Stegostoma tigrinum: one gene and its partners. The protein of the gene in region 1 purifies or fractionates together with the protein of each later gene. This does not show direct contact. Links are inferred from orthologs where the notes say so. Each region holds a gene or a part of one and is shown on either strand. Other genes may lie near its edges. The genes, in order: cdc27, cdh31, anapc7 and anapc13.

The links.
Region 2: the proteins of cdc27 (region 1) and cdh31 purify together in Homo sapiens (affinity purification with western blotting; 4 studies listed by BioGRID and IntAct, with this or other methods). This does not show direct contact. The link is inferred for Stegostoma tigrinum from reciprocal best matches to the Homo sapiens genes CDC27 and CDH1.
Region 3: the proteins of cdc27 (region 1) and anapc7 purify together in Homo sapiens (affinity purification with western blotting; 23 studies listed by BioGRID and IntAct, with this or other methods). This does not show direct contact. The link is inferred for Stegostoma tigrinum from reciprocal best matches to the Homo sapiens genes CDC27 and ANAPC7.
Region 4: the proteins of cdc27 (region 1) and anapc13 purify together in Homo sapiens (affinity purification with mass spectrometry; 5 studies listed by BioGRID and IntAct, counting the BioPlex papers as one, with this or other methods). This does not show direct contact. The link is inferred for Stegostoma tigrinum from reciprocal best matches to the Homo sapiens genes CDC27 and ANAPC13.

The regions. Positions count from the first base shown.
Region 1 is NC_081384.1:40,773,068-40,780,814, forward strand, and holds the start of cdc27 (cell division cycle protein 27 homolog), read left to right. Parts: upstream 1-4,707; 5' UTR 4,708-4,831; coding exon 4,832-4,858; intron 4,859-7,747. UniProt on the Homo sapiens protein: Component of the anaphase promoting complex/cyclosome (APC/C), a cell cycle-regulated E3 ubiquitin ligase that controls progression through mitosis and the G1 phase of the cell cycle.
Region 2 is NC_081369.1:40,081,815-40,089,509, forward strand, and holds the start of cdh31 (B-cadherin), read left to right. Parts: upstream 1-4,641; 5' UTR 4,642-4,735; coding exon 4,736-4,882; intron 4,883-5,159; coding exon 5,160-5,259; intron 5,260-7,695.
Region 3 is NC_081379.1:24,282,393-24,289,676, forward strand, and holds the start of anapc7 (anaphase-promoting complex subunit 7), read left to right. Parts: upstream 1-4,280; 5' UTR 4,281-4,376; coding exon 4,377-4,477; intron 4,478-7,284. Other genes in the region: ube2g1b (ubiquitin-conjugating enzyme E2G 1b), read right to left, coding at 3,872-3,914. UniProt on the Homo sapiens protein: Component of the anaphase promoting complex/cyclosome (APC/C), a cell cycle-regulated E3 ubiquitin ligase that controls progression through mitosis and the G1 phase of the cell cycle.
Region 4 is NC_081385.1:20,041,326-20,048,517, reverse strand, and holds the start of anapc13 (anaphase-promoting complex subunit 13), read left to right. Parts: upstream 1-4,153; 5' UTR 4,154-4,288; exon of another isoform or gene 4,289-4,297; intron 4,298-5,160; 5' UTR 5,161-5,276; intron 5,277-6,127; 5' UTR 6,128-6,238; intron 6,239-6,947; 5' UTR 6,948-6,962; coding exon 6,963-7,061; intron 7,062-7,192. Other genes in the region: thyn1 (thymocyte nuclear protein 1), read right to left, coding at 338-380. UniProt on the Homo sapiens protein: Component of the anaphase promoting complex/cyclosome (APC/C), a cell cycle-regulated E3 ubiquitin ligase that controls progression through mitosis and the G1 phase of the cell cycle.

The DNA of each region.
Region 1 (7,747 bases):
CAACAATTTTATTTGAAATCACAAGCTTTCAGAGCTGATGAAGCAGCAGCATTCCAAAAGCTTGTGATTTCAAATAAAATTGTAGGATAATCTGGTGTTGTGTGATTTCTCACTTTAAGTAAAGGCATAACTTAGACCTCGGCTGGTGTTTGTATTCAGTTATGCGTGCCACACTTTAGAAAGGAAGTGAATACATAGGGAAGAGTGCAGAAGAGATTTCAAAAAAATAGCTCCAGGGATGGTTGTCTTCAGTTTATGACAACAGATTGGAGAGATTGTGACTGTTTTCCCTGGAGAGAAAACTAAGCCGACAACCTCATTCAAAAGAACATGGAACTTGGCAACACCACAAGCCACTCACCAACCGGCCATCGAACTGCATCATTATTCCTTCAGGGTTCCTGGGTCAAAATCCTGGAAATCCCTTCCTAACAATGACACAAGGACTGGAGTGGTTCAAGAAGGCAGTTCACCACCACCTTCTTTAGGGATGAGTAACAAGTGCTGGTCCAGACAACAGCAAGCACATCCCATTAATGAAAAAATATGAAAACTTGAAAGCTCTGGGCAGAGTAAACAGGCAGGAATCGTTGCTGCTTAAAAAAAGGATCAAGATTGGATTTGATTTATTTGTCACATGTACCAAAGTACAGTGAAAAGTGTTGTTTCATGTGCTATCCAGTCAAATCATACCATTCGTAAGTACATCGGGGGGTAATAGAACATAATGCAGAATACAGTTACAGAGATGAAGAGAACGATCAACTCTAATAAACAAGATGAGAGGGTATAGGTTGAAAGTGAGAGGGGAAAGATTTAAAAAGGATCTAAGGGGCAACCTTTTCACACAGAGGGTATGCTTGTATGGAATGAGCTGTCAGAGAAAGTGGTAGAAGCTACTGCAATGATAACATTTGAAAGTCATCTTGATGGGTGTATAAATAGGAAGGGTTAGAGGGATATGAGCCAAATGCTGGCAAATATCTGGTCTGCATAGATGGGTTGGACTGAAAGGTACACATCACTATGGCGCGATAAAGCTATACGGCACTGTAACTCTAAGTCTGTTCATAAGTTAAATAACAGCAAGGAAGAAATTGTTCTTGAATCATTTGGTCTGTGTTTTCAAAGTTTTGTATCTTCTGCCTGGAAGAGGATGGAAGAGAATATAACTGGGTTCTGAGGGAGGGTCAGATGTTGCCAGACCTGCTGAGCTTTTCCAGCAACTTTGTTTTTGCTCCTGACTCACAGCATCCACAGTTCATTTGGCATTTATATAGCTGGGGTTTTTGATTGTGTTGGCTGCTTTCCTGAGGTAGCAGGAACTGTAGACAGATTCAATGGAAGGAAGGCTGGTTTTCATAGGTGACAATTTTTCACCACTTTTGGTGCAAAACAAGCATAGAATGCATTGAGCTCATCGGGGAGACAAGCATTGTTGTTACCGATTGTATTCAGCTTTGTTTTGTAGCCTATTATATCATGTAACCCTTGACACAGTAGATGTGTGTTTGTGTGGTTAGTCTGGTACTCTAGTTTAGGAGATAGCAAGAACTGAAGATGCTGGAGTCAGAGTCAATACAGTGAGGAACTCTAGGTCAGGCAGCATCAGGGAGCAGCAAAGCCGACGTTTCAGGTTGGGGCCCTTCAGGACTGGGGAGGGGGAAGGGAGCTGGGAAATAGACGGAGGGAAGTGGGGCTGGAGGAAGGTGGTAATAGGTGGATGCAGGGTAGTGGGGATTGGTCAGTGGGAAGGGTGGGGTGTATAGGTAGGAAAGACGATAGTAAAAACTGCCGATTCTGGTGTCAGAGATAACACAGTGTGGAGCTGGAAGAGCAGGAAAGTTGATGTTTCGGGTCGGGACCCTTCTTCAGAAAAAGAAGAAAGGTCCTGATCCGAAATATCAACTTTCCGATTCCTCTGATGCTGCCTGGCCTGCTGCATTCCTCTAGCTCCACACTGTGTTATATGTGAGAAAGAAGATGGACAGGTTGTGTCAGGTCAAGGAGGAGGCTTGGACACGGGATGAGGCTGGGGGTGGGGAGATTTGCAAACATTAAGATTGATAAGTCCCCAGGGCCAGACCAGATTTATCCTAGGTTGCGCCGGGAAGCCAGAAAGGAAGTTGCTAAACCACTGGCAAAGATCTTTGCTTCCTCACTCTCCATGGGAGTTGTACCAGAAGATTGGAGAGAGGCAAATGTTGTTCCTCTTTTCAAGAAAGGGAATAGGGAAATCCCTGGAAATTACAGACCAGTCAGTCATACGTCTGTGGTCAGCAAGGTTTTGGAAAGAATTCTGAGGGATAGGATTTATGATTATTTGGAAAAGCATAGCGTGATTAAAGGGAGTCAGCATGGCTTTGTGAGGGGCAGGTCATGCCTTACAAATCTTATTGAGTTCTTTGAGGAAGTCACGAGACAGGTTGACGAGGGTCGAGCAGCGGATGTGGTGTACATGGACTTCAGCAAGGCATTTGATAAGGTTCCCCACGGCAGGCTCATTCATAAAGTCAGGACGTATGGGATACAGGGTGATCTGGCTGTCTGGATTCAGAATTGGTTGGCTGACAGGAGGCAGAGAGTGGTTGCAGATGGTAAGTATTCTGCCTGGAGGTCAGTGCTGAGTGGTGTCCCACAGGGCTGTGTTCTTGGGCCTCTGCTCTTTGTAGTTTTTATAAATGACTTGGATGAGGAGGTTGAGGGGTGGGTTACTATGTTTACTGATGACACAAAGGTTGGAGGTGCCATTGATAGTATCGAGGGCTATTGCAGGCTTCAGCGAGACATTGACAGAATGCAGAGCTGGGCTGAGATATGGCAGATGGAGTTCAACCTGGATAAATGCGAAGTGATGCATTTTGGAAGGTCGAACCTTAATGTTGAATATAGGATTAAAGGCAGAATTCTAGGCAGTGTCGAGGAACAGTGGGATCTTAGTGTTCAAGTGCATAGCTCCCTCAAAGTTGCCACCCAGGTGATAAGGTTGTTAAGAAAGCATATGGTGTTTTGGCTTTCTTAACAGGGGGATCAAGTTTAAGAGCCGTGAGGTTATGCTGCAGCTCTACAAAACCCTGGTGAGACCACACTTGGAATATTGTGTCCAGTTCTGGTCGCCCTATTATAGGAAAGATGTGGAGGCTTTGGAGAGGGTGCAAAGGAGGTTTACTAGGATGCTGCCTGGACTGGAGGGCTTGTCTTATGAGAGGTTGACTGAGCTCGGACTTTTCTCTCTGGTGAGAAGGAGGAAGAGAGGTGACCTGATCAAGGTGTACAAGGTAATGAGAGGCATGGATAGAGCCAGAGACTTTTCCCCAGGGCAGGATTGACTGCCACGAGGGGTCATAGTTTTAAGGCGTTAGGAGGAAGGTATAGAGGAGACGTCAGAGGGAGGTTCTTCGCCCAGAGAGTTGTGAGCGCATGGAATACTTTGCCAGTGGTAGTCGTGGAAGCAGAGACATTAGTGACATTTAAGCGACTGCTGGACATGCACATAGATAACAGTGAATTGAGGGAAATGTAGGTTAGGTTATTTTATTTTTGGATTAGAATATTCCACGGCACAACATCATGGGCTGAAGGGCCTGTACTGTTCTGTACTTTTCTATGTTCTATTTTAAAACTGGCGAAATCTATGTTGAAGCCATTAGACTATCGGCTCCCAAGGTGGAATATGAGGTGTTGTTTCTCCAATTTGCATGTGGTGTCATTATGATACAGGAAGAAGCCCAGGTTGAAGTAATGGATTTGTTTTAGTATGTAATTGAAGAGCTTCAGGGCTGAAGAGTCATCCGTGGTTTGCAATGGGAGAGATCCTTGATTTTTTTGGAGTGAGGAGGACAACTTCCTCAGGGTGGGTATCCTGGGAAAAGGCTTCACATTTGGGTTTTCAATCACCTGGAGATGGTAAGAACTGCATATGCCGGAGTCACAGTCAATGCAGTGTGGAGTTGGAGCCTGGTATTGTCCTTTGGCATCCCTAATAGTTTTGTGAAAATTGTACCTAGATTTCCTGTGTAAGTCAGGGTCACCCAACTTGATTGCTTCAGACCTAGACTACAGTAGTGAAATGATTTGCAAACACAGCAAATGTGGGGCACGAAGAAAACTCCATCACACAAGGAATGAGGGTCTGGAATGAGGAAGAGAGTTCTGAGGTAGGGTCACTGAAGCCGAAACGTAAATCTGATTTCTTTCCGCAGATGCTACCACACTTGCCGAGCTTTTGCAACAATTTCTGTTTTTGTGCCTGGAATGCACTGTTTGGAAGTGTACAGGAGCTAGATTCAGAGCGTTCAGAGGGCGTCAGACGATTATTTAAATCGTAACGATATGCAGGCTTACGTTGAAAAAAGCAGCAAAATGGCGCAGTGATAATGCAGGCACAATGGGCCAAATGGTTTCCATCTGCACGAAAAGAATTTGCAATACACTGGCAATTCTTTAGAAATTTCCAGTTACTGCTCACAGCAGCGAAGGAAGCAAAAGCAATATTAAATCTTACGGTCCACGAGGTGAGCATCACCGTAGAAGGTGACCTGCAGAATATTACCATCAGCTGGGATGGACTCAGGACTATACGCCCTCCACTCTCACTCCTCACAACTCTCACCTAACTAATTTCCGGTCGTGAGGCGACAACTTCCGGCAGCGTTCGGCGATTCCCGACAAGGTTCGGCAATTCCCGGCATAACTCGGTGATTTCCGTCCGGTGTGTCGTCGTCCTGCTGGCCGTTAGGCTACGGTGGCTGTGACTGTTGAAATTTGAATCCTGGGCCGAGCTGTGTGTGATGAGAAGCCGCGCTACTTGGTACAGACTGGTTCTTACATCATGACAGTGCTGCAGGAACCCGTTCAGGTAAAACGGCCCTGGGGATTCCAGGCCCGCTGTCACTTACAAGTCCGACCCGTGTGTGTGAAGAGTGGGCCGCCTGCTCCTACCTTCCCGGCCTGGCGCGGTCCGGCCAGAGGAGTGGGCCTGTGTATCTTGAGGGGGTGCGAGGGGACTGATTGTCATTGAGTTTTTAAACTGGCTATGAAGTCTGTATTAGAGCCGTGGTTCTGGAATTGGAAAAGCTTTTTGTTTTCCAAACAGCGGTACTGTTTGGTGGATTTATGTTAATCCAGCATTCTGTCAGGCCTAGTTTACTCCTTGGTTTTTTAAAAAAAACGATTTTGAGGCAAATACAACAGTTAGGCATGTTTTGTTAACAGGATGATCACGCCTATTCGGTATGAAGATTGCTATCCTTTTTCTTCCCCGCAGAGCTTTAAGGCAATCCTGCAGGTTTCGAGAGAAACAGAAAATACTTAGTTTTTGGTGATGGTCCTGTTGGAATTTAACTGCTTTCTTCCTGTTTAGTAGGTGCTGAGAGTGTAATGGTGGGTGTTGGAATGTTCACTTCTGAACAGCGAAGTTTCATGAGGTAGGATTGAGATAATTGGCTCGAAACATTGTGTATATGGGGGAAGAAAATTTTCAGCTATGTAGAATGGAGTACTAATGATTACAAACTCTGCAGGTAGTAGAAACATATGAGCAAGCAACAGGGGAGATCATTCAGCTCCTTGAACTTCTTTTGTCTTTCAATAAGATCATGGATGATCTGTTTTTAACCTACTTTTTTGATAACTTTTCACCCTGTTGCTTAACAAGAAGTTTTCTGCCTTGACTTTAAAGCATTTGAAGAATCTGCTGGATGATCTTGAGAGTTCCAAAGATGCATGACCTTTAGAAAACTGTTCTAAATGGACAACACGTGACGCTTGCATGATCTGTGGTGATTAGTTTGCGTGTCATGATGAACATTGTCAAGTTGGTTGATCGAGTCTGGAATTACTGTGAGCTGACTGATTTTGCCAAGTTGCTGATTTTTCTTAGTTGCAATCAGAAAAACATCAGCTTGTGCTCGTTCAGTGAATATAAACTTTGAATGCTATGGAAAATATACATGTCAGTTTTTGGAGGAAAAAGTTCTTCAGATCAAAGGGATGAGAAAGAAAGGAGAGGGCAAGAAATAGTGATAGAATGGAAGTTGAGGCCCAAGTCTGTAACTTTGATTTGAGTGAATGTTGATTTTGATTGAATTTTGAGTATTTTAGTTTCCAACTGACATTGCTTAAAGTAGATGATCTGATCATTCATCTAGTTGTTGTTCGTGCCAACTTGCTGTGTGAAAACTGGTGACTGCTTTTCCTACAAGTTTACATTTCAAAATATTATTCAACTGGCCACAGAATTGCAGAAAATGCAATATCTTTGCAAGTGTGTACTTTGTGTCCTTTGTCCTAGCCTACAAGCAGCTTTGTATGTTTTTGAACGGTGTATTGTAACTGCTTTGCTGATCTTGAGGAGCATCCAGCAGCTTTGGGCCAATGACGAGGAGGTGGTGATTGATGGTTTCTCTGTCAGCACAGAAACTAGTCAGAGTCAGTTCCATTTCAAACAAAAGGTGTTACTCAAATTGTAGAAAGCTAATCATGGCTGATCTTAGACATTTAGGGTTTCATATGCAGAAACAATCAGAAACTAATGGACAGGTTTGAAAATAACTTTAAAAGATTAGAACAATCTATAGTCTGTATAAGACTGAAATGAAAAGGGCTAGAAGTTATGTTACACTTATATCAAGTTCTGATTTAGGCCACATCTGGAGAACTTTGATCTATTCAGGACCTGGTACTTCAAAGATGTTCAGTTAGGTGGGATTGCAGTCACCAATGCCATTCTTGCCTACTAACCTTGGATGGGGATCATCGCCTTTCAGGTAAATCTACAGCGAAGCAATGGGTGATATTCAGAAAGGAGCTGGGGAGAATACTTGGAGGGGCTAAGGGATGAATCCTGGTCAAGTGCAACTTAGCTTTGTGGCTGCTGAGTGCCATTGAGGAGCAGACTGGAGGCTGGAGCAAAACAGGACAATTGGTGGTCTTGGGCCTGGCGCATGTGCTGAGCTGCTGAAAATGGACTGTCATTTGAAACCTTTCTACTGTGGTAACTACCTTTTGTAGGTAATGCTTCTGCATTCCTTTAATCCCTTTTCTATAAGAACACCAAGATGTGTCCCTCTGTACTTCTGTATTGTAGCTCAAGTGATAATGAAGTACATTCTACAGGCCCAGCACTTAGCCTTGAGGGGTAAGGGGCAATAAGTTCTGAGAATCCTGGATGTTTAGGGCAAATCAGGACTGGATAAGGAACAAGAGTAGGCCAGGTCTAACGGGAGCAATTCAGTTGTGGCACTTGAGTACAGGAAGTTCAGGTGGCAACTTTAAAGCAATTAGAAGAGCAAAAGGGGGACATGAAAAATTATTTGCAAACAGAATTAGGGAGAATCCTAAAACATTTTATAAATATTTTAAAGGGAAGAGGTTAACTCAGGGAAGAATAGGGCCCATTAGGGACCAAGGGGGCAACCTGTGTGTGAAGCAGCAGGATATTGAAAGGATGTTGAATGAATATGTCACTTCAGTCTTTATCCTCAAGGAGAATGTCGGTATAGAATTCAGGAAAAGGCATTATTTGAGGAAGTTGCGCAATGTAACATACGAAATGATTGGAATTGAATTGAAATGAAAGGAAATTGGAGGCTCTGTCAGACTTAAAAACAGACAAATCCCTTGGCCTGGATGAATTCCATCCCAGGTTGCTGTGGGAAATTGCAGGGGCACTGGCATAAATTTTTAATTCCTCTCTGGCCTCAGGGAGGGGAGGGTGCAAGAAGACTGGAGGATAACAAATATGATA
Region 2 (7,695 bases), on another chromosome or scaffold:
GCTACATTGGCAGGCAGGGCGTTCCACACCCTTACCACTCTCTGAGTAAAGAACCTGCCTCTGACATCTGTCTTAAATCTTTCACCCCTCAGTTTGTAGCTATGCCCCCTCGTATAAGCTGAAGTCATCATCCTCGGAAAAAGACTCTCACTGTCCACCCTATCTAATCCTCCGTTGGTCTTACATAAGTAAACTCTGTGGCTAATTAAGATTTGGATTTTTTTGTTTATTCATATAGGCATCACTGCCTAGGCCAGAATTTATTGCCCATTCCTAATTGCCCAGACAGCAGTTAAGAGTCAATCACATTACTGTAGGCCAGACCAGGTAAGAATGGCAGATGTCCTTCCCTAAAGCACATTTGTGATCCATGTTTTTTTTGTGACGACTAAAGGACAGTGGTTATACTGTCACCATTAATGATAGCTTTTTATTCTAGGATTTTATTGAATTACAATGTCATCATCTGCCAGAATACTGAATTCAAGTACTAGATTACTATCGCACTGACATCACCACTACACCATAATTGTGTACATTCAAGCACCGGGAAGATGTTGTTTGAGGCACATCTTAAAGTCTAATAAATGGCAAGATTTTTGTTTCATCTCAAGATTCTACAGCTTGACATGATTAATAAGAAAAAACATTCTAAAAATGGTGCAGTAAATTATTTTAGACTGATGATTAATTATTGGGATGGATATCTGTTAAGGATTGCCTGTGAATAGTGACAAGTATCTGCACAAACATCAGAATTATGACTGATTATACTAGATTGTTTCAGTGATTGACAAGAAATTTGGCTTACATCTATGTAAAACCTGACCTCTTCTTCCAAGCATTCAAAAGTATTCCAGTCAGTGATTACACTAATCATTTTATGAGGTACAAAGCAATTTGGTTTTGGTAGTAACAGTTAAGAGACAAATATTGGACAACTTCAGCTTTATATAGTTGTATATGATCTATGCAGCCTTGCTGGAGCAGGGAGGACACAATTTTATTTATCATGTAAATGGCACACCCTTGAAAATACAGCACCTGCCAATTCTTGACTTGAAGACTATTTTATAATACTATATGTAATTTTTTTACTAGGTCATATGCTACATGTACAGGCATGCAAGTAATAGGGTACTGTTGAGTCAGCCTGCAGATAGAAACCAATTCTCTAACAAGAACACAAAGCACAAAGTGTTGGAAAAGAGCCTAATGTGGCACCAACAACTTCAAAGTAAGCTGATATATTGCACAATAATCTGTGTTGCAAACTGTGAAATTCCTTTCACAGGACTGCAGCAAGAGCTCATGAGATCAGGTGTTAGTACACTGGCGCAGGGGAGAGGAATATTCCTACCCCATCCCATTACAGCAACAATTTTCATAAGAAAATGATCAAATTCAATGTTAATGTTTGCTTTGGTAAAGGGAATTCAGAATTTTTTTAATCTTAGGCATTCCTTAAGATCCCAAGCCAGCTACAGAATTAAATTTTGCACAGAGATGTGGTAAGCTGGAAAGGCTTTCTAAGTACTGACACATCGGTGTTAGAATCAAAACAGGCTCCCAACCCCACATACCAGGATCAATATGTATTAAGACTGACTTTTTTGCTCCCCAATCCAGGCATCTGCCAATCCTAAACAGTGAGTGTACAAATATACCCTACAAGCTAATAACTATGTTTATTCTGTCCCAATTTCAGAATATCTAGGGTAAAATTGAAAAACTGCAAATAGAAAGTGGCAGGGACTAGGAAGTGTACACACACAGGCATGTTCAATTTCCTCCTTCATCAGCAATGTTGGTGATTTAGGCAGTGCAAAGATTCTTGCATTCGCAACAGGCAAGTGTCACTGTGTGAGCAACTCAGTTGAAGCTTTGGGTAAAGATAGATAAAAATGCCCTGTTGATTAACTTTCCAATCAGCATGGCTACAAAAGCATCATTTCTCTTTCCATTTCTGGATTAGATGCAGCGCAGCAACTGTTTCAGGATTACATTTCACACCAAAAGCCACATCCTCACAGACACATTAGTTGATCACAGAAACTTTAACTGCATCGTTCTTAAATAGTTTAGAGAATGTTTCCTCTGGTACATAGACTCCATGTGGTGACATCCAAATATATTGATAAAGATTTCCTCTGTTTGCTATTTCTAACAACGTTGTAAACACATTGAAAAATATTTTTATTGATTCACTCCACACCGTAAACAGAGCAAGGCCTGAAAGCTTATTTGTACAGTTCTCATTTTTCAGCCACGCCTGACATTGGTCTTCCTCATTAGTATATAAGTGCTCAATGTTTTGTGGCCTTCCCACTGGTTGCTTACATTGCATGCAGTCAATGCTGCATCTGGAACACGCCTCAATTGAGGAATGATCCAATTTCTCAGCCAAAACCCTCATAAATGTGTGATTGACCACAAGAACTCGAACTACATCATCCTTGTTTGGCTGCGTGCTCACCAATCCCAACACTTCCTGCTGAAAATCTTGCTGACATAACTAATAGTCCTCTGGGCAAGGTACCAACAAGATATGTCTGTGTTGATTCTAATGCATTACCCCTCTTTATTCCCTTCGATCTCTGCAAAGTCCCAGTCCTCTTCCACTGCCTCACTGCCATACCACCAGCCTCCAGCTGCAGCCAGTACATTGTTTCACTCTACTTAACAGGATATATCCTTTTGAAGCCATTGTCCAGTGATTCCCAGAGTGGAAGTAATCTAAGTAGATGTACTCTGAGGTCAATTTGTGACTACTTGTTTGTGATTTTACATATAAATGAATTTGGGAGCATTTTCTGTCAATTGCAACCTACAAATCCAGGTCTACGCCCTTTAGGGAGATAACTCTACTGCAGATTTAGCAGATGTGGGAGGACATCACCACCTTCAAATTCCCTTCAAAACACATACTCTCTTGACTTGGAAATGTATTGCTGTTGCTTCACTGTCCCTGGGTCATTACCATGGAACTCCCACCCTAACAGTATAGGTGGTTTACTTTGATTACACAGACTGCAGCAGTTCAATAAAGGAAGAAATTATTTACATTTACTGCCTTTTAAATTTTAGCTATGATGAAATGTCACAGATATCTACTAAATAGAGTCATACAGCATGGAAATAGACCCTTTCGTCCAACTCGTCTATGCCTACCAGATATCCTGAATTTATCTAGGTGTGGAGCTGGAGGAACATGGCAGCCCAGGCAGCATCAGAGAAGCAGGAAAGCTTCTCTGATGCTGCGTGGCCTGCTGTGTTCCTCCAGCTCCACACCTTGTTACCTCAGACTCCAGCATCAGCAGTTCCTACTATTCCTGAATTTATCTAATCCCATTTGACAGCTTTTGGCCCGTATCTCTCTTAACCCTTCCTATTCATATACCCACGCAGAAGCCTTTTAAATGTTGTCATTGTAACAGCCTCCATCACTTCCTCTGGCAGCTCATTCCATGCACACACCACCCTCTGGGTGAAAATGTTGCCCCGTAGGTCCCTTTTAAATCTTTCTCCTCACATAAAACCTATGCCCTCCAGTTTTGGACTCCTCCACCCTGGGGAAATGACCTTGTCTATTCACTATATCTATGCCTCCTCATCATTTTACAAACTTCTATAAGCCTCTGATGCTCCAGGGAAAATAGCCCCAGTCCATTTAGCCTCTCCCTATTGCTCAAACACTCCAACCCTGGCAGCATCTTTGTAAATCTTTACTGAACACTTAAAACTTTAACAACATCGAATGCAGTATTCCAAAAGAGCCCCAACCAACGTTCTGCACATCAGTATCATGACCTCCCAACTCCTTTACTCAAAGCAACAAAGGCAAGCAGGCTAAATCCCGTCTTCACTATCCTATGTACCTGCGGACTCTACTGTCAAGCAGCAAGTGTTTATATACAGACACAATAGTTGCATGATGATGTCCTGGTTGGAAAAAAAAACACTGAATAAGGTTTTCTGTATTTGAAACAACGGCATGTATTTCTAAAGCACGTTTAACAGTTGTAAGGAGTGTCCTGAAAGGGGTACAAAAGGACGGGGAGATTTCGAGATTAACTTCTAATGAAGGAGAATCTGCTAAAGTTGACTCAATTAACATCGGGGCTGCTGATCCACGCCAGAAACAAGGGAGGGTTGATGAAAGACTAAATTTCGCTAGACTGCCCTCCTCTCTAGAAATTCTGGTTTACAGAGAAATGACTCCTATACATTTCATCATCTAGAATGGCTTCACGATAGACAATATCTGAACTTGAATTCTCTCCAAATATGCAGAACAGTTGCCTTAAGTTAGCACTGTCTACTCCAGTCACCCTTGTTTGGAATGTAACCTCCTTTTTCACCGATCTGTGCTGGGGTCAAACTCGACATTAATGCAGGCGCTGCCCAGATCCACAGTACACAAATGGGATTGATGCCAACTTTCCAAGAGGCCGCTGTCCAGATAGTTTACACTTAGCAAGTTATTTTGATGCCCGCTCCTTCCAGTAAACGGCATCATTTCCGCCACCTTCCCCTGAAACTGGGAGTGGGGGAATTTATTACAACAGTTTCAATCACTGGGAGCTGAGAGCGTCGGTGCGTCGCCGCCGCCTTTACCTGACGCCAGCTTTACCCAAAATTGGATACAAGCATCCGGGCGTCAGCCAATGAGAGAGAAACTCACCTGGAGACGTCACCTGGATTGGCAGCGATTGGCTTCCAGTTTTGGAGAAGGATGGTGATCGGAGAGAAGGGGAAAGTCAGTGAGAACGAGGAGGTGGAATTCAGAGGCAACAGGCACAACGCGTTTTGGAAACTGACTCGTAACCCAATGGGGAGTTACAGGCTGTCGTTTCTGGGGATAGTCACCCTCCTGCTCCAGGTGAGTGAGTTCTACTTCTCACGAGGTTAGACCGTGTACATCTGAATTCTGGCGAAGGGAGGGGGGCAAGACCTCCGGTTTGTTACACGGTTCCCCTAGCCCTGCACTCCATATCTTCAGTTTCGTATCAATTTCATTATCGGCTGAGCTTTCATCCGAGCGAGTGCGAATTATCCCCGTTGCCGCGGCGGGGGACCCGGTGTGAGCTGTAAACGGAGGGGAAGGATGGATTTGTGTTTGGTACTTTTATTTGATGTTAACCTGTCCGTATCCACAGGTTTGGAGCGGCGAGGCATCGACTGGATGTAAAGGGTTCGAGCCAAAGAGCTACACTTTCAGGGAGCCGTCAGTGGAGGTGGGACAAGTTCTGGGCAGAGGTAAGAGTTCAGGAAAGTACGTGAGGATCGGCGGGGATTTCACACGGAGAAATGCGGAAGCGAGACTGAGAACCTTGGGGGTGGGAACACAGAAAAGGGATCGAGAATCCTTTCCGGATCCCTAAGAAAAAGGGATCCAGTGAGAAGGAATTGAATTTTTTTTAAAAGTGCCCTCGGTTGTAGAAGAATCCGAGATCCCGTTTCTTTTCGCAACCCCCCTCTCTTTTACCGGAGGAATTGGTGATAAATACATTCACAGAGAATATCTGCTGCCTGTGTTGAGGGCGGTGGCTGGACTTTCGATTCTGCTGGTCTCGCCTTTTGTTCAACTTCTTGTTCAATCTTCAACTATAGCCGTGCTACCTTTTATATTCCCAAATTCTCCAATATTGGCAAGGAAATTTCAGGTTTTAACATGAGTGGGGACCCTGTTTGTTTCCTAGTGGACTGTTTGTGTTTCGAGTGCAGTGAAAGGAAGGAGAGCTCGGATGAGAGAGTTCTATCAGCGTTTCTACACTAACAACCCCCTGATCTAATCTAAAGAGGTCTCGAGTGTGTGTCATAGATATTATTTTAATTTCTCTACAAAATTTTAACTAATCATGGTGCACAATGCTGTGGTCAGTGAATTACTGTTACTAACATCTGCTCAGTACAGCTAAGTCGGAGAAACACGTTGTCAAAATCACCCTAAGGCTTGTACAAAATTAATTTAATTTTCTGGGAAAAGCCCCGGAACACTCTTTTAGCTTCCAAACAGCCCCGATCAGATTATAATGCGTTTTACCAACTAGGTGATCCCTTTTAAAGCACTGAATTATCTCTTTTACGTTTTAACCAGCTGTCCTATTTTTCATTCTATAAATTCCTGCTAACTTCATTCAGGGGAAATTGGTAATTGATTCCATTGTTTGCTCCTTATTTTCTCTACTTGTTGAAATCCCCTGTGTGATGACTTGATTTAATTTTACAAAATGGATGCCACCCAAGTTTCACAAAACAAAGTCCAGCTCACCTGAAAATGTCTTCTGCCTGTCGGAGAATAGGGCCACTAAAACAAATACTTTCTATCAAAGGTTTTCTGTCCCTCGACTGAAATTAATTGGTCAGTCTTTGGAGAAACTGAACTTTGAAGTCCTTGGATTTCAGTTGAGATTTGTTCTCCAAAGTTTCTGAGGTCCCTTTGGGGAACGTACTTATGGCTTTCATTGTGGAAACAGCCAAGACATTTTCTTAAAAACTCGTGTGGGTGGCCTGTCAGAAATTACTGCTGTCTCATCAACACATTTTAATTTGGTGTCACATTGCACTCTGACTTATTTATAGAAGTCAAATTGACAACAAAAAAACTTTTTCCAGTTATTCAATCAAGTGCTACATTCCAATGTCAATGAACGAGATTTGCTGTCTGTACACAGTTTATGCGCATGCCCTCTCTGTATTATCAGGATAAATATAAATGACTCAAATATTATTCCAAACCAAGACTACAAAGCATGCAGATGAAGTGGTTTATTGTGAAGAGGGATTTGTGTGCGTTGAAGAGATTCGTTATTATGCATGAATTGGGTAGTCAAAATGCTGTAAAGACTTTCTGAACACATGACAAAATAATGTGTCCAATCTTGCGTGTCTGTTTTCTTGCCAATTGTTTTACTATGTTTGTCTCTAGTCAATTTAAATTCTCGTGATTTTTGTTTATGTTCGTCATTTCACGGTGATCAGGACAACAAAAGCGTGAAGAGTTGTATAACAAGGAAAATGGTTCCTTTTCATTTACTGCAACTGGTATTTTGGCTTTTAGAGATGATAGGAACTGCAGATGCTGGAGAATCTGAGATAACAAGATGAGAGGCTGGATGTACACAGCAGGCCAAGCAGCATCTCAGGAGCAGGAAAGCTGACATTGTGGGCCTAAACACGAATAAGACTAATAATCTCCTTCATTCTTTTGAAATAAAAAAAACGATTTTTCTGATGAGGGGTCTAGGCCCAAAACGTCAGCATTCCTGCTCAGCCTCCTGTGTTCATCCAGCTCCACACGTTGTTATCTTGGCTTTTAGAGATGAATGTACTTTTGTTTCAATGTTTTTTGATGTAATGTATGATAGCTCATATACTGTGGGAAATGACAAGTCTTGCCACTTCATTTCACTCTGTATGCCTTTATCATGTAAGCCAAAACTTGAGTTATAGTGGAAATAGTCAGTGGTGTGTCTCCAAATGCATGCTTATGATGCTTGAGTGTCTGATATTGAGCTACGAGCTGATGCTTTTTCCTAGAAATCCTTTCTACCCTGTAATAATTTAAATTTAATTTTAAAATTAATTTAAAACTTAATACATTTGATTAATTTTGATACATCTTTTTTTGGGCAGGCTGTTGTTTTGTTAATTGCCTCTGTTTTCAACCTCTTGTATTTGTCATTATCCTAA
Region 3 (7,284 bases), on another chromosome or scaffold:
GCTCCAAGAGGTGATCACATTCTCAAGACAGGACACTGAAGTCACAGTTAAATTAAACTTTATAAATATGAAATAGAAGTGCATTATCTCTGGTATGAGTACTAAGGAGGAGTGATTTTGGGATTAATGACATTGTATTTTACCTTGAGTTTTGAAATATTTACATTTATGTAAAATTCAATGGCTTATTCTATTTTATCTTCATTTCTTTTGAGTAATGAAACTTGTTTTATGTGAAATGAAACTGTAGCATTGTGTGTGTGCATTTCAGAGAAAGGCTACTTCATTAGGCAGCACAGTGGCTCGGTGGTTGGCACTGCTGCCCCAGAGCGCCAGGGACCTGGATTCAATTCCAGCCTCAGGCAACTGCCTCTGTGGAGTTTACACATTGTCTGTGTGGGTTTACTCCAGGTATTCTGGTTTCCTCCCACTGTCCAAAGATTTGCAGGTTCGGTGGATTGGCTATGCTAAATTGTCCATCGTGTCTAGGGTGGGAAATAAAGGGATGGGTGTGGGTGGAATGCTCTTCAGAAGGTCGGTGTGGACTTGATGGGCTGAATGGCCTGCTTCCACACAGTGGGGATTCTTAAAAATAAACAAAATATGATCAAGCTAGATTTCAGAGTTTGGGATCTAACTTGTCCAGTAATAAATCATTAAATCAAAATGTGACTTTTCTCTTCTACCTACCATTTCAGTAGTTTAACCACTGTAGTTCATGGTCACAGTAGGAATGGAATGAAAACACACCTCAATCTGTATTGCAGCATTTTAAGACCAAATGCTATCCATCAACTCTCACAGCTAAGAGGATAACTATATTTTAATTCTGATGTGAAGCATACCAAAGGAAAAGTTCAGGGCCTGCATGGTCCAATTAGTGTGAAAGGCAAGGCTGGCAGGTGTAGGGAACAGGATGACTACTGCATTGAGGCTCTGGTCAAGAAAGAGGAGGCATATCGAATCAGGGAATCCCTAGTGCAGAAGCAGGCCATTTGGCCCACTGACTTGACACCAATCCCCCGAAAAGCATCCCACCTAGACTCATTCCCCCCAACCTTATTCCCTGTAATCCTGCATTCCCCCATGACCAATCCACCTAACTTACCTCATCCGTGGGCACTTTAGCATGGCTGATTCACCTATCCTGCATATCTTTGGACTGTGGGAGGACATATAGAGAACATGCAAGCTCCACACACAGTTGCTCAAGGGTGTAATCAAATCCAAGTCCCTGATGCTGTGAGGCAGCAGTGCTAACCACTGAGCCACCATGCTACCTCAATTGTCAGGTATAAGCAGCTGGGATCAAGTAAATCCCTTGAGGAGTATAGGGAGTATAGGAGTACCTTAAGAATGAAATTAGAAGGGCGAAAAGGGGGCAGGAGATAATTTTAATGTCTAAGATAAAGGAGAATCCAAAGAGATTCTACAAGTATAATAACAGCAAAAGAATAACCGGGGACAGAATAGGGCCCCTTAAAGGTCATCTGTGCGTGAAGCCATGGAAGATGGGTGAAATCCTAAACAGATATTTCTTGTCAGTATTTACCATGGAGAAAGACATGGAAGCTAAGGAACTCAGGAGAATAAATACTGATGTTTTGAAAAAAAGCCCACATTGCAGAAGAAGTGGTGCTAGAGGTTCTCAAAGGACAAAGGTATCGATCCAGTGTAACACCAGAGATTGAGAGGAGCTAGGGGAGAAACTGCAGGGCCCCTAGCAGAGGTATTTGTATCATTGACAGGCATGAGTGAGGTGCCGGAAGACTGGAGGGTGGCTAACGTGCCATTATTTAAGAAAGGGTGAAGGAAAAGACAGAGAATAACAGACTAGTAAACCTAATATTAGTAGTGGGTAAGTTGTTGGAGGGGATTGAGAGACACAGGGAGTACATGCACTTGGAAAAGCAAGGACTGATCCCGGATTGTCAGCATGGCTTTGTGCAAAATCACGTGTCACAAATGTGATTGAGTTTTTTGAAGCGATGACCACGTAGATGAAGGCAGAACAGTCTACATGGACTTTTGCAAGGCCTTTGACAATCGTAGATTGGTAAGTAAGATTACACCACATGGGGTCCAGAGAGAGCTAGCCAACTGGATACAAAATTGACTTGATGGTAGGAACAGAAAGTGGTGGTACAGGGTTGTTTTTCAGACTGGAGGCCTGTGATCAGCAGTGTGTCAAATGGATCAGTTGTGTCCACAGCTGTTCATCATTTATGTAAACAATCTGGATAAGAAAATAGGGGGCATGGTTAGTAAGTTTGGCAATGACACCAGAATTGGTGGTATAGTGGACAGTCAAGAAGGTTACCCAAAAGTACAATGGGATCTTGATCAACTGGGCCAGTGAACCAAGGAACGGCAGATACAGTTTAATTCAGATAAATGTGAGGTGTTGCATTTTGGTAAGGTAAACCAGGGCAAGACTTCCACACTCAATGGCAGCACTCTGGGGAGTATTCTTGAACAGAGAGACCTAGGGGTGCAAACATGATTTCTTGAAAGTGGTAACACAGGTAGATAGATTGGTGAAGACAGTATTTGGCATGTATGCCTTCATTGGTCATGGCACTGAGTACAGGAGTTTTGACATCATGCTACAACCATACAAGACATTGGTAAGGCCACATTTGGAGTACTGCATATAATTTTGCTTGTCCTGCTGTAGAAAGGATGTTATTAAGCTGGAAATGGTGCAAAAACATTTACAAAGACATTACCAACATTAGAAGGTTTGAGTTATAAGAAGAGGTTGGAATGTTTTTCCCTGGAGCGTAGGAACCGAGGGGTGGCCTTGTAGAGGTTTATAAAATCATGAGGGACATAGATAAGGTGAATAGCCAAAGTCTTCTCCCTTGCTGGGGGGAGAAGAGAGGAACTAGAGGGTTTAAGGTGAGAGGGGGAAAATTTACATGGAGCCTGAGGGGCAACTTTTTCAGACAGGGTATATAGAACATGCATATATGAAATAAGCTGCCAGAGGAAGTGTTAGAGGTGGGTATTTAAAAGACATTTGGACAGGTACATGGCTAGGAAAGATTTAGAGGGACATGGGCCAAACGCAGGCAAATGCTCTCTGATGAAGGGTCTAGGCCCGAAACGTCAGCTTTTGTGCTCCTGAGATGCTGCTTGGCCTGCTGTGTTCATCCAGCCTCACATTTTATTATCTTGGAATCTCCAGCATCTGCAGTTCCCATTATCTCAAATGGGGTTAGTTCAGTTTTGGAAACCTGGTCGGCATGAACAAGTTGGGCCGAGGCGCCTGTTCCAGTGCTGTATGACTATGACTCCATAACATGTAACAATTCAAGTCTTTCAGGGGACTAGCAACAGGCAACTGTAATACGCAGTGAAAGCGAACAGAAGATATGCAATCTGGTCAAAAGTAAGAACACATTCATCATGTCAGCGTTCGCGGCTGTGAAGCGCCATAACGATTTTTCGATTTTACAATCGCGTCAGACTGACAACATCTGGATTTTCTATAACTTTGACGCCTGTAAAATTCGTGCGTATAAACTGCCAATCTTCCAAAAATGACTGCAGTCCCGTGGCCGCAAAATATTCCAGGAAGACACTTTGCCAGTCTGTCATAGCGATAACGCGGAGGGAAGGAGAGGGGGAAGCGGTAAAAAAAGTTACGAAACAATGACTTTTAAAAGAGTCTGACGACCGATGACATAACATAAATAACGTCCCAAATGTTCCTCTTTTAACAATTAACATATAGTAATAGCCAAAACGAAAATAGTCAGAAGGAAGTGGGGAGCTGAAAGGGGGTCGAGACTCAGCAGCAACAACAGTCCTTCCAGCCACAACTCACATCTGCAGCAAAGTTTGAGATCCCAAGGGCGTCGCGTACCTGCCAACTGTTTCCTAAGGAGCAGGGCGGACTGGTCTGTCATTACTCAAGGATCGGATCAAACCAAGTAAAATATGAAAATCAAATAATAAAGGTAAAGTAGGTGGGTCAGGTAGATAGTCAGAAGCAACCGCTCCAAGCCTTGCGGGCCCACGCTATACCAAGCCTCGGCCTGCGGCCTTACAGGCTGCTCACATCCCGGCTCCGGCATCAAAGCCGCACATGCGCCTTCCCCCTAGCAACGCAAAGCTGCCCGCCATGTGCCGCTTTACTTCAACGGCTATTTCTAATCTCGCGGTTGGCAAACAAACGTAGCTATATAATTTTAATTATTAAGTACGTTACGAAAAAAAAATACACTGCACTGCCACGGTGAATCATAGTAATTCAGGCGCAAAGTGAGCAGCTCTAGCTGCAGGGAGGTCCACAGCGCCATTTTTGATGCTGTTAGTGCTACTGCTTTAGCGTCGTCTTCACTCAGAGCACTGATCTGACAGAAGAAAAGATGAACGTTATTGACCACGTTCGGGATATGGTGGCCGCTGGCCTTTACTCCAACGTGAGATTACTTAGTAGCCTGTTACTGACTATGAGCGACAATAATCCGTAAGTGGTTGGTTTTACCTGGCGAGTTCTCTCTCAATTGATTCTATGTGTTCCGAATCCTCTCCCCCTGACATGGTATGGTTTTAAAATGCAGTTTGCTCCCGCATCTCCAAATAAGTTCCGAACCTGTTAAAAGTTTGAGGCTTAAAATGATTTTGTTCTAGTCTCAAAGTGGAAGGGTGAAAGAAAAAAGTCTTGGTTCATAGGTACCACTGGTGTAAACTGAATGGTGAATGGAGTGTGACAGTCCAAGCCTTTGATTGTATTATCATTACGTGTTCCAGCCATATAGTATTGTCACCTCCGAATGATTTAAGCTTCTGTGAGTTTTTATGACTTCAATCAGAAGGGAATGTTGGCCTTTATAAACATAGAACTAAAATACTAGGGGTAGAAGCCATGCTCCGTTAACTAAGGCCCAGGTTAGACCATTACCTGAAATAAAACAGAGTCCTGGGCATAATCCCTTAGAAAGGATTATAGACCTTGTAAAGAGTGTAATATAGATTTACTCAAATGATACTTTTATTGCAAGGAAGAAGTAAACAAAAAAGGAACTTTTCTTTTAAGGTTTCTTTTAAAGTGAACCTTGGAATTTAAAAGTTGAGGGGTGATTTGATTGAGCTTTTCAAGAGACGGTGATATTAGGACACTACTTTATATACAGTATTGTGGTCTGGAACTCTTCTACAAATGATAGTGGATGCTAGCTCAATTGATTTGTAAGTTTAAATAGATTTTTGATAGAGATTAAATAGATTCTGAAGATTCAAAAGTATAATCTATGTTGGTTTTGTGTCCCCACCAACACATTGAATTCAAACTTGCCAACTGAATATAAGTCTTGCTTGTTTGAATCTATCCCAATCTCTACATTTTTTTCCGACTGGCTTTTTGTACCTCCAACCCTTACTTTTCTTCACCTCTAGTAGCAGTGCTTTCGACCTTCTTTTAATGTTTTGGGTAAAGCCATTATTGCTAAACTTTCAATAACCTTTGCAATTCTCACCATAGCTTGATACTAGTTTCTCTCCAAACCATGTAAAGTATGATGGACTGTTTTCTTTTTTAAGGATGCTTTTTATTACAATTTGTTGATCTATTCGTGGGGATGGACTAGTTTGTATTTGGAAAAATTGACCTTGGGTAAAATGTTAAATCTAGGGTCCTATTTGCCATATCAATTTTGAAAGTTCTATTAATTTGATCAGAGAATTGGAGGAATTCTGATGCATAGTTCATGTACCTTCCGCCATCAGCAGTGCCAGAAAGCTGTTTGTCTCAATGTAACTAGGACTTTGATTCTGCAACCTGCCTATTACATTTACCTGAATTTTGGTGTTATATTTCATTGTGTTTCGCTGGGAAGTTGTTTTCGTTAGGCGGGGAGATTAGGACCCGTGGGCACAGCCTTAGAATTAGAGGGGGTCAATTTAGAACGGAAATGAGGAGACATTTCTTCAGCCAGAGAGTGGTGGGCCTGTGGAATTCATTGCCATGGAGCGCAGTGAAGGCCGGGATGTTAAATTTATTCAAGGCAGAGATTGATAAATTCTTGATCTTGCAATGAATTAAGGGCTACGGGGAGAGTGCGGGTAAGTGGAGTTGAAATGCCCATCAGCCATGATTAAATGGCAGAGTGGACTCGATGAGCCGAATGGCCTTGCTTCCACTCTGTCTTATGGTCTTATGGTCTTAAAAGATGCAACCATTCTAGTAGTAAACAGAGGGACCTCGGGGTTCATGTACATAATTTTGTGAAGTTTGTATCACCAGATGGACATGGTGGTTTAAAAAGGTGTTTGGCACGCTTGCCTTCATTGTTCAGTCCTTTTGACTAAAGGAATTGTGAATTCATGTTGATGACATTGGTGAGACCGCTTCTGGAGCACTGTGTGCAGTTCTGGTCATCCACTTATATGAAGGATATTATTAAACTGGAGAAGGTTCTGAAAAGATTTACCAGGATGTTGCTGGGTATGGAAGGTTTGAATTATAAAGATTGGATAGGCTGGGACTTTTTTCACTGGAGTATATAAGGTTGAGAGGTAACTTTATAGAAGTTTATAAAATCATGAGGGGTATAGATAGGATTAATGGTAGGTATCTTTTCCCTAGCATGGGGTATTTCAGCACTAAACGATGCATTTTTAAGGTGAAAAAGGAGAGAGATTAAAAAAGACATGAGTGGCAAATTTTTAAAGAGGGTGGTTTACGCGTGGAATGAACTTTGAGGAAGTGGTGGATGTGGCACAGTTACAGTGTTTAATAGACATTTGGATAACCAAGAAGAGGAAAGGTTTGGAGGGATAAGGGCCAGAAGAAGGCAGCTGGGACTAGTTTAATTTGGGATTATGTTCGGGTTAGACTGATTGGACTGAAGGATCTGTGTCTGTGCTGTACGACTCATGATGGTGTCTTGAAACAAACTGTTAAACCTCTGGAAAGAGAAGAGATAAAGGCAGATGTTTCTGATTACCTCCCTTAAAGCTCTTCATATACAATGACCGCATGGTATTATTGCCAAACTATTAATCCAGAAACCCAGGCAACATTCTGGGTTCGAATCATGTCGTTGCAGATTTGAATTCAATAAAAACCTGGAATTAAGAGTCTAATGATGATCATGAAACCATTGTCAATTGTTGGGAAAACTGAACTAGTTCACTAATGCCCTTTTAGAGGAGGAAACTCATCTTCAACTGGTCTGGCCTACATATGACATCAATTTGATTGACTTTTAACTGCCCTCTGGGCAACTATGAATGTGCAGTAAATGCTTGTCTAGTCAGTGGTGCCCACGTGCC
Region 4 (7,192 bases), on another chromosome or scaffold:
ATCCACTGTCAGGTGATGCATGAATAATTATCATCTTTAAAGAGGGATAGAGATGCTCTAAACTCTGGAGCTATACTGAACCAAGGGACCAGTGGATTCAAAAAGACAGCAACATGGAAGGAACTGGCAGAAAATTATAACAAGCTCAAAAACATAAACATTCCCCATATAATTTCCTATAATTTAGCAAAAAGGGAAACTCTTAGAATGGCTCTGTTATAACCATCACAGTCGCAATACATCATTCCTTGATGCTCATCTGTTACAAAGCCATTACATTAAGTTACCATCATCACTGAACATAGAATCACTAGCAAAACATAGGAAAAAGTATTACTTGATTTTCCATTTCCACCACGTTTTTTGTTTTTTGGAGACATCTTTGATTTTTCAACCTTTTTGTATCCTATAATGAGAAAAATATATAATATTGCCAATGAAACACCGCATTGTAACAAAGCGAGCTTGACTGTCAAAATAGCATTGAGATTCCAGAACAGGAAAAACTGTTCCCCAAACATCAGCATTGAGCAAAATGTTTAAAATATTAGACAACATGGTTATATGGAAATTGTAATAAAAATACTATTAAACCACAATACTGATTTCAATCCCATTAGTCAATGTTCACCATCAATTATAGAACACATTTTGAAGGAGTTCTTGAAGTTTTTTTGTTCAGAAATCACGTTAAAACACATCATCACTTATCTGTGGGAGCATATATGACAAACATGTCACTGATTTTCTACTACAGAGATTTGAACATTTTTCCCCAAACAGCAATAAACCACTTTAACAAAAGCTATCAAAATGTTATTTTCCTAGCAAATCTATCAGGTGTTAATCTGAATCCAGGAAACATTTATTTCAAATTCATTTAAACTTCACAAAAGTCCATGTACTACAAAACACACAGGCCCAATCAACTAATGCAATAAAACCAAGATTCCAAGATGGAAAACAACTGACTATTCACAATAATGAAGATACATATATTTTATTGATCAGACTGATTGTTCAAACTTAACTGCTATCATTTCGTTTTAAAATTAATGAATCAATTAAAATGAATACATGCTAATATTAGCTGTCTGATCATCACGACAAAAATTTAGGGAGCTAAAGATGGTGGGATCAAGATCCATACATGGTAAAGCTGATTTTGGGAATCAATGGGTCTAGCAAGCGAGCTAGGGAATCTAGATGAGATGTAGGAAGTTGAGTGCATGATTATGCCAACACCTCCATAGCCCTGTTGCTGTAAACTTCTTCACAAGATCACTGCAGCCCAACATTTTAACAATAAATGTATTCAACAAAGATCTGAGCCAAAGTACAAAGGCATTCTTGACTGATGACAGAAAAATAAATGAAATCCTGAGCCCCAGAAAGTACCTGCTATTATCTAAAGTTACTTTCAGCAGAATCACAAGCACACTCTTACAGCAACCAAAGTTTGTGAAAAGGTACCCTAAAATCCAGTTGAAAACTGGAATCACTCAACTGCAAAACATTTTCATAAAAGCTTGACAATATTCAGAAGTTTTTTTCTTTTGTGGTTGAGGAAGGCAAATCAGGAGAATTTATGTCAAAGGCACAATGATTGTTCAATCTACTGTTCAACGCAATGATTTTTTCAAATAGTAATGTTACCAAGTAAGCCAAAAAATCCACTATATTCTGAGAATTGGAAAACTTCCCAATTTTTTTTTTGAAAGGCAGAAAAATGCAAATTCACTGTGCACCTTGACACCTGATGCTTCCACTAAGACTGGCTCCTCTGAGATTTGCAGCTGGCCAGCAGTAAAATAATTTCAGTTGTTCCACAAATGGTTGTATTCTGTAAAAATACTATTTCACAGCTTATCATTCCAGTTCCACAGAAACTTGGATTTGGAAATGTAGTTCTGAATGAGCTTATTGTCAAACACTTTTTCCAATCAGCAATTTGAGTTAAGTATACGATAGTTGTTTCAGGTCCAAATAAGCAGAAAATTTCAGCAAGAATTATCAAGTGTTGAACAGAGAATATAAACATGGTGCAATGACCTTGTATATTCCCAAAACATAGTTACAGCATCATACGGCATGGAAACAGATTCTTTGGTCCAACCAGTCCATACAGATCATATTCCCAATCTAAACTAGTCCGAGTCGCCCATGTCCTTGGCCAACATCCCTTCAAATCTATCCTATTCACAAACTTATCCAAACGACTTTTAAACGTTGTAACTATACCTGCTTCCACCACTCTCTGGCAGTTCAGTCCACACACAAACAACTCTGTGTAAAAGAGCTACCCTTCATGTCCTTTTTGAATTTTTAATCTCACCTTAAAAATATGTCCCCTAGTTTTGAACTCCCCCACCCTCAGGAAATGACCCTTGTCACCCACCTTATCTATGACCCTCATTATTCCATAGATGTCAATGAAGTCACCCTTCAACCTCCTACTCACCAGTGAAAAAAGTCCCAGTCTTGCCAATCTATTTTTAGATCTCAAACCCTCTATTCCCAGCAACACCCTGGTAAATCCCCTTGGATAGATTGATGTCGACACCAATCACAAGATTCCAGTGTGCCAAACACAAAACTAAAGACAACTGTGGGATTACTGTAATAAAGAAAACGTAATCATTCGAATTCTTCAGACATGTGATCGACTGGTATTACATCAGACTACAGATCAATTTCATTTCAAAACATGACATTTCTACGCTTCAGTTTTCTATTCAAAGTTAGCAAATGTAAACTAATTCAGTGGATTGCCATTGGGAACATACAAAGTCATGCTGTTCATATCCTTTAATCAGCACTTTGTGCCATTCTCAATTTGTAAAAGGTGCTGTTAAGTGGAAATCTGTCCTTTGTTGCTTGAATTCTAAGTCTTTCCAAGTCGCCTTGACGAAAACGTTCAGCCAGTCCTTGTTTGTTAAGATTACTACTTTTAAAAAAAATCAAAAATGTTAATACCAAAAGAACTGGAATTTAACAATCTGGAGTTTCACAATCTGGAACTGAAGGTTAGTGTCAGGAATTACCACTGGTGAACCAGATGGATTTTTAAGACAGTAAGACCATTATACGCAGGAGCAGAAGTAGGCCATTCGGCCCTCAAGTCTGCTCCACCACTCAATGGGATCGCAGCTTGTCTGATGTTCCTTAACTCCATTTTCCTCGATTCCCTTGCTGATTAAAAATCCGTCTACCAAAGTTTCTGACGAAAGGACATATGCCGCCCTCACCCTCAAAAATCTGGTAGACTCGTAACTGCCCTCTGAAATACCATTCAAGTTTTTTTTAAAAAGGCAAAGGTGATCAACAAATGCTGGCCATGCCCCTGGTGCCCACATTTTACAGAAACATAAAACACAGGAAAGGTCATTCAGCCAACCAAGTCTGTCCGACCAGAACTACACTAAATCTACTCCAGCCACACTTCCCAGCTCTACACTCTTCAATATTACAATTCAAATGTTCATTTCACAGGGATATTTCACTTTAACTGTGCTGTTTGAAGTCTGTGAATGCTGCCGTCCCCTACCCCGCTGCAATCCACTCACCGACCCTGGGCCTCCCGCCTCCGTCACTAGGCAACCGCTTAAAGGGAAAGGGCCACCCGACTTAAAGGGGATGGCTCAGGCCTTTCCGTTATTTGTCGGCTCAGGAAAGAAAACGACGAAAACAAACCTCACGGCTGAGGAGGCGAGCATGGAGTTTGTCAGTGAGAGGGGGGGCGAGACAGGCTGGAAAACTGAACAGGCACAAAATAAAACTGAAAGGAAAGTGCTGTTCACTCGGAAACGGCCGCAACAACCTCGCGGCGCGGAGAGAAGCAAAATCACTGCCCGGAGCCTTTTTCGGAAGAAGGACCCCGACCCGAAATGTCAACTTTCCTGCTCCTCTGACGCCGCCTAGCCTGTTGTGCTTCTCCAGCTCCACACTCTGTTATCGCCTGAAAGTCTGTGAGCTTCCATCGGAAATCAAACACTTCACTCCAATTATTTACTGATTGTGGCCGGACCGTTCATCTGGGGGGACCGAGAGGCAGGGAGAGGCCGGACCATTCATCGGGGGGGACCGGGAGGCAGGGAGAGGGCGGACCGTTCATCGGGGGGGACCGGGAGGAAGGGAGAGGCCGGACCGTTCATCGTGGGGGACCGGGAGGCAGGGAGAGGCCGGACCGTTCATCGTGGGGGACCGGGAGGCAGGGAGAGGCCGGACCGTTCATCGGGGGGGACCGGGAGGCAGGGAGAGGCCGGACCGTTCATCGGGATTGTTGGGGGTGAGGGAGAGTCCCGGACGGTATATCGGCGGGAGGGGGGCGGGGCGAGGGGGAGACGGGGGCGGGGCGAGGGGGAGACGGGGGGCGGGGAGACGGGGGGCGGGGCGAGGGTGAGACGGGGGGCGGGGTGAGGGGGGCGGGGCGAGGGTGAGACGGGGGGCGGGGCGAGGGGGGCGGGGCGAGGGTGAGACGGGGGGCGGGGCGAGGGTGAGACGGGGGCGGGGCGGGGCGAGGAGGGGGGGGCGGGGGGAGGGGGAGACGGGGGGCGGGGGCTGTTGGGGGGGCGTACGGGCGGGGGGATGGGGTGTGGGCAGGGGGATGCGGGCGGGGTGAGTGTGGGGGTGGGGTGGGACGAAGAGTGGGGGTTGGAGCAGAAGGGGCACGACGGCGCGGAGGGGAGGGTAGTGGTGGGAGGGGTGGGGTGTGGAGGGATGGGGCAGGGCGTGGCGGGGGTTGGGGAGGGAGGAGGGGCAGGGCGGTGGGGAGGGTAGGGACGGGCAGAAGGAGTGGGACGGACGTGGCGGGGGTGAGGCGGGAATGAACGGTGGGGAGGGGCGGAGCAGGACAGGGTGGGAGGGCAGGTCGGAACAGGGTGGTGGGGCGGGACAGGTTGGGAGGGTCGGGGTGGGACGGTTGGGGGGGGGGGCAGCGCCGGTGGGGGGAGGGACGGGACGGGGTCTGTGAAGAGAGAAACAGAGTTAATGTTTCTATCCCGATGTTCCTTCCTCAGAACGGCACACAGCTGGGTTCATTTACTTGTTTTAACCCAATGGATGTGTGAGGTGGCACGTTTGAAGTTTCAAGCGGAGTCAGGAGATCAGAGCAAAGACATACAGACTTACATTTCTATAACATGTTTAATGTCCATACAGATCCTCAGCCAATGAAGAAATTCTGAAGTCGCCATTGATGTACTGTATACACAGGAAGCACCCACAAACAGTATATGTGCGAGTGACCAGATTTTTATTAACCCAAGCGACCTGAGGTATTTGATTAAATGCTTGGCATGTAGGATAACAAAGCCTAATGGAAACCGAAAAGGTTGACTTAGTACAGTTCATGCTGAATCTGTTGAGAAGATTGTGCTAGTCTTTTGAGAAGGACTTCTTAGGGAAGATCAACAAATACTAGCTTTGGTGATGTCCAAATGTGATGAAAGTAAAAATTCATCCACGATTAAGGAATTGAGCTATGAGAAGATTTGGTATAATTATGTTATCTGAAAATGAAATTGAAAGATTTTACTCCCAAGATGTACAATGTTAAATGGAGAAACTTCTTGGGGAAAATTGAAACAAAGCAACATAATCTTCAAGTCCAGCTTAAATGAATATGTTGCAAAGGCCAAAGATGCAAAATCATTTGAAGGAAACACTTAGAAAACACTTAGAAAAATCAAGGGATATCAACAAAGTGCTGAAGAAACTTGGGTTTGGGAGCATCTGGAGAGAGGAAAACAGTTAATATTGTTCTGAAGGGAATGTAGGTCTTAAAGCTTAAACTCTGTTTTTCTCTCTGTAAACGGAGAGGCGCTAGTAAAATAATATAGACTCGATGGGCTGTTTAGCTTAGATTTTGTCTGGTAATGTATCTGCCACATATTGTTAATTGAATTAGCTGTCAGCACGTCCTAACTATCCCATTGAGCAAACTGATTTTCAGTATGTACGTCACAATTTTTTAAAAGGCAAATTACAACAGCAAATTTTATGTCAGTCAATCCAAACAAAATTCTTGCATTCATTTAGTAGTCTTCACAACCTCATGATTTTACAACTTGTTTCGCAGCCAGAAGTTTTGCTGCATATTGATGTAATTATTTTTATTCTTTTGTAGGATGTGGAATTTGCTTAGGTCTATATTTATTGCCCATTCCTAACTACTTAGAAAGCAGTTAAGAATCAACCGCATTGCTGTTCATCTGGAGTCATATCTAGGACAGATCAGGTAAGGATATAGATTTCCTTCCTTAAAGGACCGCAGTGAACCCGGTGAGTTATTGAGTGGTGGTTATCCACTTACTGTTACGGTAGCTCTCTATTCCAGATTTTAATTGAATTCAGATTTCACTGCCATAGTGACGTCAACATGTACGTCCCCAGAATATTGTCGTGTGATATTCGTTTTGGGTTCTGAATTCCTATTTCATTGACAACACTACGAGGCCACCACCTCCCTATTTGTACAGAGCAAGCTCCCACAAGTAGCATCACTGTTACATCTAGATAATATTTTTTGTGATGAGTTTGAAAATTTAGATATTGAGCGACATGCCCAGATCACACCCCTGCTGCATTTGCAGATAGGGTCAGGGGATCCTTTACATCCATCTGAAAAAATAAATGCAATATCGGTTTAATATCTTATCCAAATGACAGCACTTCTCACAGTGCAACTGACTGCGGTGTCATGAAAGGTTTTGTGCTCAAGACCTTTAGTGGAACATTAACATACAATCTTTTAATTTGGAGATGAAAGTGTAACTAACTGAACCAGGGCTGATAAGAGTATTGGGTGGGACAGACTTGCTTCCTTTGAGTAAAAAGCTAAGGAGCTAGAAGTTTCAAGATGAGCCAGGGTGAAAGTGTAATAAATGCAGGCACGTATGCTCTATGTTTACTAAATCCTGTATTTTCTGTTTTGTGTTTGCGTACAGTGTCAACCAAGACACATGGACAGTGAAGTACAAAGAGATGGCAGAATTCTGGATCTTATTGATGATGCATGGCGTGAGGACAAACTGCCATATGAAGATGTGGAAATACCACTAGTACGTACAGAATTTATATTTGTATAGTATCTTAAAATAATATTAATTGTATGAAGGTGCATTGTTATTAGTTTTGGAATGAAAAAGATAAAATGTGATTGGAATGAAAAACAGTTTAAAAAGTGACAGCA